3 linked regions of the Ovis aries genome follow. The main gene of each other region encodes a partner of the protein of the gene in region 2 in a complex. Links are inferred from orthologs where the notes say so. Each region holds a gene or a part of one and is shown on either strand. Other genes may lie near its edges. The genes, in order: SMC5, EID3 and NSMCE3.

Evidence for each region.
Region 1: EID3 (region 2) and SMC5 share a complex: the UniProt entries of both Homo sapiens proteins name them as parts of the SMC5-SMC6 complex. The link is inferred for Ovis aries from reciprocal best matches to the Homo sapiens genes EID3 and SMC5.
Region 3: EID3 (region 2) and NSMCE3 share a complex: the UniProt entries of both Homo sapiens proteins name them as parts of the SMC5-SMC6 complex. The link is inferred for Ovis aries from reciprocal best matches to the Homo sapiens genes EID3 and NSMCE3.

What each region holds. Positions count from the first base shown.
Region 1 is NC_056055.1:66,334,527-66,338,857, forward strand, and holds part of SMC5 (structural maintenance of chromosomes protein 5), read right to left. Parts: intron 2,361-4,331; coding exon 2,237-2,360; intron 1,961-2,236; coding exon 1,838-1,960; intron 1-1,837. UniProt on the Homo sapiens protein: Core component of the SMC5-SMC6 complex, a complex involved in repair of DNA double-strand breaks by homologous recombination.
Region 2 is NC_056056.1:173,526,602-173,530,821, reverse strand, and holds EID3 (EP300-interacting inhibitor of differentiation 3), read right to left. Parts: upstream 2,596-4,220; 5' UTR 2,552-2,595; coding exon 1,400-2,551; 3' UTR 1,101-1,399; downstream 1-1,100. UniProt on the Homo sapiens protein: Tissue-specific component of the SMC5-SMC6 complex, a complex involved in repair of DNA double-strand breaks by homologous recombination.
Region 3 is NC_056071.1:25,979,137-25,983,514, forward strand, and holds NSMCE3 (non-structural maintenance of chromosomes element 3 homolog), read right to left. Parts: upstream 2,531-4,378; 5' UTR 2,407-2,530; coding exon 1,549-2,406; 3' UTR 977-1,548; downstream 1-976. UniProt on the Homo sapiens protein: Component of the SMC5-SMC6 complex, a complex involved in repair of DNA double-strand breaks by homologous recombination. The complex may promote sister chromatid homologous recombination by recruiting the SMC1-SMC3 cohesin complex to double-strand breaks.

The sequences.
Region 1 (4,331 bases), on a different chromosome or scaffold from region 2:
TATCCTTGTGGCCTGAGTATCTTTGACATACTCAGTTCAGTTCTACTATAAACAATATTGAAATTCTCCCTCATTTCCCTCTCCCAAAGCATCTAACCTGAGGTAGTATCCTTTTATTTCCTAATAGTACCTACAGGACAGTCAGCAAATATATTGTTTTACTTACTTGTCTCCCTTCTTCTGTGTTTAAGTGTGGTGCCTTTAGCTACCGTGTCAGCCTTCTGACCACATAACACATGCTTGCTGTCTCCTTAGCCTGCCCAGTAGTTCTAGTTCTCCTCAGTAAGCAACTTTGTTCTGCAAGGCAGTTTCACGTGAGTTGCTAGTTCACAGGACCTGAATCACCCCAGCACCACCTGACCTTTCTGCAATCTAAAAGTCACCTTCCAGTTTCAGCTGCTCTGAAATTGGTCTGCTGAGCTTTCTACACCAAATGGGGCCTCTTTTCTTAAAAGATGAGAACCTGCTGGTGACTTAGTTTTTGGGTTCTTTGAGCCTTCCCTCTGTTTCTTACCACATACTTTCTAATACCATACCAGTCTTGCTGCTGATTATCTCACCTACCGGTATTCTGGGGTTCATGGCTGTCGTAAAACACAGAACTTGACTGATGTTTGTCCCTGGTTCTTGGGAGGAAGACTAAAATCCTAGGAAGTTTCTGAGTGACAGAGGGTCTGAGTTTATGCTAAGGAGTGACTCAGGATGGGGGAAGTCAATGCCAGAAAGACAAATCATGTGACTAAAGGGTTGGGGCTTTGAGTCTTATTATTATCCCCACCCAGTCTCTTAAACTGCAGAGAGAAGGGCTAGAGACCGAGTTCAACCATATGGCCAATGATCCAATCAGTCATGCCTAGGTAATGCAACCCGGTAAAAATTCTAAACACTGATGTGCTAGGAGAGCAACAAATTATTTCACCAGAAAAGAGCATAGAAACTGTGTGCAGGACCCTCCCCGCCCTATAAGCCTTTTGACCAGTAGGGATTTGTATTGTTTATATAATAAAACTGTAATTGTTGAGAACAGCCTTTTCTTCAGTTCTGTGAGCCATTCCAGTAAATTAATGAACTTGGGGGAGCCATGAGAACCCTTGAATCAGTCACCAGTTGGTCAGAAGAGCAGGTGGCATCTGAAGGGCAATTTTATTAAGGACTAAGCCCTTAACCTAGCCTCATGCTAATCCTGGGTGATGAGTGTGAGAATATTCTGCAGTACACCTACAGGGACAACTTTAAGCTGAGTCTGTTGTATACATTGCCTGCGGGCTTGCTGTTACATCATCATAGTATCCCAGTTGCTCTTCTATTTTGGGGAACGGATTTGAAAGACTCAAAAACTATGTCACTCTTACGACCTCATTTTGTTGCTTGTTCTTCTCTGGAATTTATGTTAACTTAGTACATCACCCCCTGTCCTCCCCCATTTCAATATTTATCATTAACAGAAGATTAAATCACCGGGATCACTAAGGCCATTCTTAGTGTTGACCAGAACTCATCTGTAGTTTAGGGGACACAAGCTGCAATAAAAGCTACTAGTTGCTTCTTGGCAATAGTACTAACTATAATTTGTATCAGCTAAGAAAGCAAACATGGTAAGATTTTGGTTTTCAAATGACTAAATCAGGTACTCTTTGTTATTTAATTGGGGGAGGGTGGTAATAATCAAAAATGTACACAAAGGGTTTCAAATATTACTTCTTAATCAGCAGAGTACATGAAATCTGTAAACAGCATACCCAAAACTGCACACTGCAAGGCATGATATATACATACACGTGTATATATAGTTTTCAAACTGAAGTCCTCAAATAAAAAATAAAAGCAATAATTTTACCTCTGTGATACGTAGCTGTGATGAGGTTGCTATATAATCTGATTCCAATTTGTTCTTCTCAGAGATCACTGTAGTATTTTGAAGAATTAAATCTACTTTTTGTATGTGTAAAGCAGTACAATTCTAGGAATAAAAACCTCTATGAGTTTTATTTTACAACAATATAGTTTAACATTTTTCTAATGCGATTGATACTTCTCTCCAATCTTAAATAGTTCTCCTTTGAGTCATTTTGAATAAACCAATTTAGCTTAATGAGTACTTTTAATCAATTTACTGATCTGTAAATAGAAATGTCAAACAGAGAAAGTTGAAATTACCTATAAAAATCTCTTGCTAAGATTTTACTATCGACTTGCAACAACAAAAACATGACTAAAATGAAAATGTCTTATTTACCTTTATCAAGTTTGTTAATTCAGTAACAAGTTTTGCTTTTTGAACATTTATTTCTTTGATTTTGGTACTTGCTTTTCGTTCTTCCTCTTCAAGATTGCAAGTATCCTGTTCCATCAGCTTTAAACTGTATGAAAAGCATAATGATGTAGAAATCAGAGAAAACACAAGGATTGAGCCCAAATTCTCAGGTTTCTTGCTGCTTTATGGTCTATGTAGCAATACTATTCAGATGTTAACTGATAGCTTCCTGATTAAACATTTCATGTAATCACTCAGGATCAAAAACTATTTTTTGAGATGTATCAAGTGCCATAGGATCTAGAGTCAGAAACTTGGGTTTAAAATTCCTCTTTGCCACCAATGAGCAGTATAACTGAACAAGCTACTCTTCTAAGCTTTGATTTCCTCATCTATAAACTGTAAGTAATAATAGTACTTCTGCAGGGCTTTGGTGAAGACTAAAAGAAGGCGGCAAATCATGCAACACACTTAGTATAGTGTCTGGTCCATAAGTGATAAGCACTGTTTATAAAAACAGTCCCTTCCCTTAAGGAGCTTAACTGTGGCAATCTAATACATAAAATAATAATGATGAAAAGACAATACAACAATTCTAAAAGTTAATACTTTGCTTTTCAATATGGAGACACTAAGGCTGTAGAAGTTTACTTAAGTTACCTAACATTACATATACTAAGTTGTAAGGTGTGTTTGACATCAAGGGCCAAGTTCTTTCCACTACAGGGAAAAATCAAAGATGGAAGCAATGAAAATAAGAATAAACAAGTTCAGTGGATATTGTAGAGAGTGGACTGAATGGTGAGTGAAGAGTGTGTCGGGGCAGAGAGGGAGGAAATTAGAATGTGTGGAGTGCAAGAAGATTTTGAAAAACGTGAAGGACAATCTAAAGGAAAGCAGTATTTAAATTTCATACAGCAAAGGTAGGAAGCCACCACAGATATCTTGAAGGGGGCAGGAACATGAAAAGATGATAAACTTGATGACAGTATTCTGTATGCCCTGAATGGAGGAGATGAGTCATGGAGAGACCACCAACCATGTCACCACTGCAGTATTCCAGAGTAACTGTAGATATGAGACAGCCAGGATGACAATGGATATGAAAGGATATTTCACTACAAAATTCAACATTACCAGGAAAAAGTTTAGTTTCAGACAATGAGTTCAATACAGCAGTCCAACAGTAAAAGGTTGACTTGTGGATGACTGAAGATAAAAGTGAAGGGTTTATATAGAAAAGAATTCTAAGCAGTTAAGACTCAGCAGATATGTCTTCTTTTAAGCAACCAAGGTATATACGCTACTGACTTTTAAAAGTTAACAGGCAATTTGCTTTATTAAAAAAATTTTTTTAAAAAGCATTTAAAATATTCAACTTATGTGTTTAGAAACACTATTAAATCAAGGTAAATTTATACTGTACTCAAGGCAATGAGCTGTCATTTATTATGTCTTTAATACCTATATCTTTGTTCTTTTATGCTTCTTTCCTATAGAATAATCACCAAAAAAGGTCTGCATTGTGTCCTGAAATGGGCATGGAAAAACTTTGAAACTGGAACTCACTTTCCTCTCCCCTAGACTGAACACCCTAACAGCTTTTATCTGATCTTATATATCAGATATATAAGTTTCTACAAAACATCTAAGTTCAAAATAAAACTTACAATCAGTTCTGAGAACAACTGCCTGGGATTTCACAGTAAGCTAGCATAATGTAACAAGGTCATTCATGGGTAAAAGATGCACTTATGGTAATGTAAGAGTATATTCCTTCACTAATGATTTCAGATTCCATGTTGCAGTTAAACGTTAACAAACCACACTTTGGCAAGTTCTGATGTGACATTAAAGAATACATATGCTGACACGTCTATTAAAGCAGTCTTCCCTTTTCCAGTTACATATATATGTGGGGCCAGGTTTTCTTCATATACTTCTCACAACCAAGTGAATGCAGAAGCACTTATGAAAAAACAACTAACTTCATCTAAAGAGATTTACAAATGTAAAAATAATGTCCCTCTTGTTGCTAAATGCATTTTGTTTGGAAAATTGTTTCTCATAAATATTT
Region 2 (4,220 bases):
TGGCCCAGTTTCATGAGAAACTTCCCTTCTCATCATCTAGATGTCATTCAGTCTCTAAATTTCCCTTCCCTGTACTACATTCAGACTTACCAGGAAAATTTTATTATTCCTGTTACACAAAGCAGATCCTTATCCACTTGCCAAATAAGGTTTAATGGCAAGACCCACTACTACCAAAGACTGTTTCTACAGAGATCAAGAAAAACAGCTTGCAAGGATGCTCACTATACCTTCAAAAACTGTTTCCTTAAAAACCAAAATTTTCAGCAGGAGCGTCCAAGTAAGGTTGTAATTTATATTCTTAAAACAACAACAGCAGCCTTTAGAGCTTTATAGGAAATGAAGGAAATTTGGATAAACTAATCATATACTGGTATTTCAATTTACACAGGGAGAGTTTCCAGGCATTCAAAGTCCTATTAAGAAATCAAAATTGAGTTGGGAACAAATATTCAAGGCCAGTACATAATGAAACATCACCAATTCTGAGGAACACTCTGTGTACTAGCAGAAATTACAAAGGGAAACTAGGGGCCAGAGAAGAAACAAAACAAGCAGATAAAAATTGTAACTGGATGTTAAAAGATTTTGTGTTTGAAATAATCTAACAAAGAGAGGGCACTAACAGATATGGTAAATCAATTTTTGCCTAGTATAACATTTAGATAGAATAGTTTTCCAAAAAAAACATAGATTTCTCTGGAGCCATAACTTCTCACAATTTCACATATTTGACCCTCCATATTTCCCCTCCCGATCTCTGATCAATTCCTACTCACCTTTCGGTACTTAGTTGATGACTCACCTATTACAGTAGACAGTCTACTTTTGTTAAGCCCACATCACAGTAGAAATTATTTAGAACAAGGACACCCACTCATTAATCTTATGAGTCGTCTTTGAAATGAAGCATAGCATCTGAATTTTTTACGGTATTAACATGACTTACGCACTGCCCTACCGTCTTTCTTGACCTTTTTTTTTTTACCCATTCTTTCCCCCAACCTGGTCAAGAGCCCCATATCAAGAGCCCCATATGGGATTCCCTTGGTTCCCTGTAGCAGAGAAAGCAATGTAGTATCACAGAGCATCATAATTCATTTTTTAAAAGTTATTAAACACCTTTTATTTTATGGAATTCAGTTCTTACTAATAAAGTCTTAAGGAGCAGTCAAAAAATCTTTTGCATGAATACGCCAGTGAATTTTTTAAGTAACAGAAGGCCATGACAACTTTATAAAACTACCAAGAAAAATACAACGCACAGTAAAACAACTTATTTTCTTGAAAATATTTTTCACAAGAAATACAGTATGTGCTTCTGTTTGGATTTTACTCTCCACTATGTTATGCTTTACAAAGTAAACAAAACTGCATCCTATACTAAGAACAAAAATCTTTAGTTTGTGATCATAGCCTCTGAAATTTCGAAAGTTGCCACAATATTTTTCCAGTCTTGTAAACTCAAAGATATAACTCCCTGTTTCCTGCAGTGGAAACTGGGATCATTTCCCTCACCGGCTAGATTAATATTAATTGGCTCCAATATTGGTAGCCTGTCTTGGTCAAGCCTTATTCTTGCAAAACCATCCCTTATAATGAAAGAAACGTAAAATATATTCTCCACAGTACGAGAGAAAGAGTTTGGATCAATCACAAACTCAAAATAAGACACAGGAGTATCAGGATACTTTCGAAAGTACGTTTGCAACAATCCCAAGATTCTTTCTACTTCTTTTTCTGTGGCTTCTTGATTGCCACTCAGATCCAGCTTCCTCAGCTTTGTAGGCATATCCCCATTCTCTTCCATTTTCTGAACTTTTCTCCGGTGATTAAGCCGCGGCTTTCGCGCCGCAGACTCTGGTTTGAACGAACCAAAAAGAAAGTGGAATGTTTCAGCTTGTAACATCCACGATGTCGCTTCCTTCTGTACTGTCTCCCAGAAGGAAAGAGCTATGTTATCGTCACAGTTATTCAACGGATCACGTCCGTCATCTTCCATCCAATTTAGACCCACAAATATAAACAGAAAGTCACAAAATGCCACCTGATTAAAAAAGCTCATGTCAGAGTTCAGCTGCTTTGCTTTTTCTTTACCCAAATCAGAAGCCAAAACAAGAAACTGAGCGTCGAGAGCCGCTTCTCTTGTTCGACTCACTGCATCAAACAGGACATTGGCTTCCTCGAGAGCCTCGGTTAAGGTGTCGCTCGTCGTGTTCACGATGTCGTCACGGTTCTGCTGGACGGTATAGATGAGCTGCCGGTACTGCTTGCGGATACTCCGGCATTTCTCTTCATCCACCCGCTCCAGCAGGCTGGGGTCGATGTCGGCCTTCCCCCAGCTCAGGTCGTCAGAGGAGGTATCAGATTCGTCGTCAGAGGAAGTATCAGATTCGTCGTCAGACGCCGCTGCCACTTCCACCTTCAAAGATTCCTCCTCCTCCTCCTCCTCCTCCACCTGCTTCAGAAAGTACGCACTACTGGGCATGGTCACCACCGGCTGCGCTCTTGTCTCGTCGGCTCCCCTCAGGGAATCATTTTCATCGGCCATGGCGGCGGCGGGTGGCACTCAGGTAACGGTCTTCGCGACGTTTCGGCCAACAGCGGAAACTGCCGGGGTCACCCAGGGCCGAAGACGCTACCCATGCGCACTAGCGGCGGCCTAGCGGCCCCGCCCCTCTCAGTTAGCGAATGAGCGTCCCCCCGCCCGCGTAGAACGCCGGCAAGAACCGGCTCGTGGCGTCACACTGAAGTAATACCGGTTGGTTCAAGCGACGGCCGTTATTTTGGCGTTTACTGACAGTGTCATCTAGCTTTTAAAGAAACGCTTGCAAAATCTAACGACGAAACTATGAGGAGACTAAACGTACCGTACTTTAAAACATTGGCTGTCACATATTGCAGCATACTGTCATTAAAAGATGGGGCGGGGTGTGGGGGTGGTGTTTTTTGTTTTAAAAAATAAAATCTGGCTAAATTACAAACTGCTAACAAAGCCAAGGATCGCGGCCTGCACTGTCTCCATTGCAGAAAGACTGAACTCCCAAGGTTCACTTGCAAAGTGGTTGCTAGGAACTCGGTCTTCACTATACAAATGTAAATTGTGTTTTGAAGGCCTTCAAAAGCCAAATCCTCGCCAATCTACTCCAATGGGGGAGGGGGAGCGGGTGACTGGGTGGGTGAGCAAGGGTCCGGGCTGGCGCATGCGCAAAGGTGCGCTGCCGTACCCCACCCCTACCCCGTCCCCCAGTGTTAGGCAACTGATCTCTGATTCTCCAGCATCCAGGAGTACAAGAATAAAGTAGACAGGGTCTCCGCCAAAGGACTATTTGGAAGGTTGCAAAAATACAGGTCACACTCCCCGAGTGAATAGTAAATCTGAACCCTAAAAGGTGAGAAACCTGTGAAGACTTTAAACACAATCTGTTACTAGGATATGAACATGAACGCTGTTAAGTCACGTGACAAACTTATGTAGGAAAATACTGCCACTAGTTCCCGGGGGAATCACGTGAAGTTAGAGAAGGACTCAGCTCATTAGTCACAAGAGGGGAGGGAGAGGGGAGAGGGGGAGAGAACACCTCAGTGCATCTCAAGTTTTGGTTTCCCGCATCCGCAAGTGTCTGCCCTACCTTCCCTCCAATGCATCTTTACTGGTTCATTTTTCTTTGACCGTAGCACACAGTTTGGGAGTAGGAAATGGCAACCCACTCCAGTATTCTTGCCTGGAAAATCCCATAGAGGAGCCTGGTGGGCTACAGTCCATGGGGTCGCAAAGAGCCAGACACGGCTGAAACGACTGAGAGCACAGTTTCTTGTAAATGCATGAGCAGCAAAGGCTAGTATTCAGTTCAGTTCAGTCGAGTCGGACTCTTTGCGACCACATGAACCGCAGCTGCCAGGCCTCCCTGTCCATCACCAACTCTGAGAGTTTACTCAAATTCATGTTCATTGAGTTGGTGATGCCAACCAACCATCTCATCCTCTGTTGTCCCCTTCTCCCACCTTCAATCTTTCCCAGCATCAGGGTCTTTGCAAATGAGTCAGTTCTTAGCATCAGGTGGCCAAAGTATCGGAGTTTCAGCTTCAGCATCAGTCCTTCCAATGAACACTCAGGATTCATCTCCTTTAGGATGGACTGGCTGGATCCCCTAGCAGTCCAAGGGACTCTCAAGAGTCTTCTCCAACACCACAGTTCAAAAGCATCAATTCTTGGCGCT
Region 3 (4,378 bases), on a different chromosome or scaffold from region 2:
CGACTGAGGGATGTGCACCTTCACTTTCAGGTTCACTCAGGCTGCTGCTGCTAAGTTGATAAGCCCTGTCAGACTCTTTGATACTTCACTGACTGTAGCCCACCAGGCTAGAATTCAGATTTCCCAGGCAAGAATACTAGGGTGGATTGCCAGTCCCTTCTCCAGGGGATTTTCCCAACTCAGGGCCTCCCACATTAGCAGGTGGGTTCTGTACTGTCCTGAGATGTCAGACAACCTCCCAGGCAAGAATACTAGGGTGGACTGCCAGTTCCTTCTCCAGGGGATTTTCCCAACTCAGGGTCTCCCACATTGGCAGGTGGGTTCTGTACTGTCCTGAGATGTCAGACAACCTCAAAACCCCATATCCTGTTCACTACACTGCAGACACCCCTTCCAAGCCCAGTTGGATCTTACTTTCTGCTCTGTTTATGTGGGCTCCATCGTGAGCTATTTTTCCATAAACCACACAGTAGAGTCGGACTAGAAGGACAGTCATGATTTACAAGAGAATGAAAGAAAAAGTTAAAAAGAAAAAACTTTAACAGTCCTAAGCCAAGGAAAAAAAGCCCAATTTAAACAAATTTGTGCCCATAACTTTACATAAACTTCCATACCTAATTATCACACTACCATACACAGTAACAGGCAGCATCAACCCGTTTTATAGGTAAGGAAAGGTCTGTGTACAACTTAATCTCCTTAAATTTGTAAGTGAGGCAGACTCTGAACCCACTAGTCTGATTCCCAAATAGGCATGGTTAATCACTAAGACTTTTATCAACTTTTCCATGACCCACAGAAATAATTTTACATCATGATCCAGTATGTCACACATATAAAAGTAAAGCAACTTCAACAAAACACTATTTACCTCAATGATATGTAACAAAAATTGTTTTCTTTTTTCCTTATGATGCTAGTTTTCAGTCATGAAATTTCTCATGAGTTAGGGTTAAAATAAATGCATAATGCTAAATTGCTTCAAAAATACAGTATTTATTATAACTATAGTAGCAAAAAAAATTGAACAAAATGGTCAGCCACACAGCATAGTAATTATCAATGTAAAAAGTTATTTGGAAAAACTACAATACACACATTGCTTAGAATGACTCAAAATGCTTACATGCATAGAAAACAGATTTTTTAAATAGCTGCGTTAAGGTAATAGGGGATATAGGCAATTACACTTTCGTTTTCAATTTACGAAGACTTTTCCTTTACAGAGTGGGGCAGTTCAAAGGCCGGACAAGGGCCAGTTCGCTTATATTTCCTTGGCAGTTCCAGATCCGGGTAGGAAGTTTTCCAATTCGCTTTATAAAGCTAACAAGATCTTTACACCAAAAAACACAGACACTGAAGCAAATCAAAACAAAACAAGTCACCCTCTAAATGAAATTTTAGAATCAAAACGACTTACAACATTACAAGAATTAAAGTTTGCAAACACTTCCTGGAACTACCACGCATTTAAACAATCAAGATGCTTCCTCCCACCTCCAGCCCTTCCCCCGGGGAGGGAGAGGGCCCTGGGGTGTGTCTCAGATTTCAAGAGACAGGAGCAGGGGTTGGGGCAGAGGCAGTGGCTGGACTCGGGCCCGCGGGCTGGGGTCTGGCCCTGGCCTCCTCGTCCGCCAAAGCCTCGCAGTACTGCGCCGGCCAGTCCTTGGGGTCCTGGTTGTGGACTTTAGCCACAAACTTGAGCACCTTCATCTTGCTGGTCTCCAGGTTGGTGCGCGGGCCCCACTGGAGCTCGTAGTCCACGGGGTCCGTGTGCGGGATGCGCCGGTAATCCAGGTATCGCTGCCGCACGAAGTCCTCGGTGATGAGCTTCTTGGGTTCCCCGAAGATGAGGTGCTTCTTGTCGGGGTGTACCCCGAGGCGCCGCAGGAAGTCCCAGACCTCGGTCTCCTTGATGGTATTGCCTTTCATGAAGATGAGCCCCAGCACGATCATGAGCAGCCCAGTGGTGGGCGTTCCCTGGTCTCCGCGCACCTCCGCGTCCTCTTCCACCGGTTCCAGCGTGTTGACCAGAATGTAGGTGTTGCTGCGCGGCTCCAGCTCCACCAGCCGGTACCCGAACACGTACTCCAGGCGCTCGGCCGCCCGCCGCAGCAGCTCTGGGAGCACATCCTTGTAGTCGCCGACCACATGCCGCAGGATGTCGGTGCGGCGGATAGGGATCTTCCTCTGGTCCTTGATCAACAAGAACTGCACCAGCTCCGCCACCTTCAGCTCCAGCTGCTTCTGCGAGCGCGGCCCCGGCGCGGGGGAGGCCTGGGCCCGCCGCTGCGACGCGGCGCCGCCCGGCCCGCGAGACGTGCTCGGGGCCTCCTCGCCGCCGCCACTCGGCTCCCGCTCGCCCTGGGAACTGGGGCGGCCCCGGCTCTTCGGCTTTTGCGACATGTCGCGGCGGCGGGACCCCGACCGCGCGGACTCCCCGTAACCGGCAGCGGTGGCAGGGATTGAAGGTCGGTTAGCCGTTAGTCCGTGGGGCTGTGGGAGGGCCCGGAGGAGAAGCGGTTGTGTCACAGAAGCTGCGCGCTTGCGTCACAGAAGCTGCGCGCTTGCGTCACGGAGGCTGCGCGTTGCGTCATCGAGGCCGCGCCGCGTCTAGAGGTCGCTCCGGTCTGGCCAGCGGCCGCGGACGGCGGCGGTAAGAAGCGGGTATTCCTTGCAGCCTTTCGGGCTGTATTATGATTAAGTGTCGTCGTTATTACCAAACCCTGCAGATGGCGAACAGGAAGCAGAGCTCCTGAGCGAGTGTGCGGCTTGGCTCAGGATCGTACCCAGGCCAGGGCTGTAGAAACTTGAGAGTCAAAAGCTCTGAAATCAGGGCTGTATGTAGGTGAAGGAAACTCCCAGGATGAATATGGGAGAAAAATACGGCGAAGAGCGTGGAAAGGAAGTAAGAGCAATTTCTTTCCACACGAAACGACGTAAAGACAATTAAAAGACCCCAAGGACTACTAGTTTGCCTTCGCCAGCCCCTTCTCACCATTTTCCACCAGTTACTTTCTCTAAAGCCCGAGTCTGTTTAGAAACAATGGTAAACAGCTTCGTCTCGCATACAGGGCTCTTTCTCCGTGTCTTTTCACCTTTCAGCCTTGATATTCTGTGTAATCAACTCTTTCAGCCGGACAGCTATGGCACAGTCACCCCAGAAAGCACGATAAGTGGAGGGTTTTTGCTTGATCCGGGGAGTTTTATCTATTGGAAGCACGTGCTCATGGAAAGATGGGCCTTGGGCTCACAACCACAGATCTGGCAGAAATGGCTAAGAGAATGCTACCAACAGAGAAGTCGGTCTCAAGAGACTACCATTTAATTTGGGGCATCTCTGACCAAGAATTGCTAACATGTGAGTCTCTAGCCTTAGAGATCAATGAGAAAGCGAAAACTCCAGGTTATCATCCGTCATAATCTGTGAAATATCTACTTTATATTTTTAATTGTGCTGCTTTAGTAACCAACGTGAGTCATTTCATTAACTCAAACCATCTGTAATCTGCTGCCATTACATCCACAGATCCTAGCAAATGGGTTCCTTTTCTATTTACTGACTTGCAAAGGCGAAACTTAATTTCCCTCTTTGTCTTCTTAAAGCTACCAGAAAGTGGGTAAACTGTTCAAAGAACCAAATCAAGTTGAGTTCCTCTTTAATGCAAATATATTCAAAGGAAAGCAATTCACAACACATTATTTGAATAATAACATCAAAACACAACCTTATTAAAATTTCATTAAATGTTGGTAGCATAAAATTTTGTTGTAATTTACTATGAAAATGCAATCTGATAATGGCACTGGAAAAGCAATACTAAATGTAAAATGATATTCTGTGTTGTGATGCAAGAATGCTAAAATCTGGTAAACTATGAGTAATAACGTTCTCTTCCACACAAGATCTAACAGTATATCCCCAGGCATTAATCTTAATGGCAGAAGCCTGCTAAGAAAAACAAATGTATCATCAAGGCACTCATTTTTTTCTTTCACAATGGGACAATCCATCTGCTTCAGTTTACTTGCAAATTAAAATTTAAACTCAAATGCAAAGAAACCTCCTACAGTTGAGAATCCTGCAAAAGGTCCCTTCAGAAAGATCAATTGTATCTCGAGTTTAAAAAAATCTACCAAAAGATGACAGAAATGGGAAATAAGAGGAAAGCCATTGTCAATAGCTGGGCTGGGTTATTTTTTAGTGTTCTGTCTTGCTCAGGTAGTCACTTCAGTTCCTAGTAATCCCACAGGTCTAGCAACCCCTGTGACTATGAAAATCAACATCTTTACCCAGATAGCAGATGTCATACTCAAAATGGGTGAAAAAAATACCAGTTTTAAGTCTTAAAACACCTCTCTACACAGCGTCTGGAAA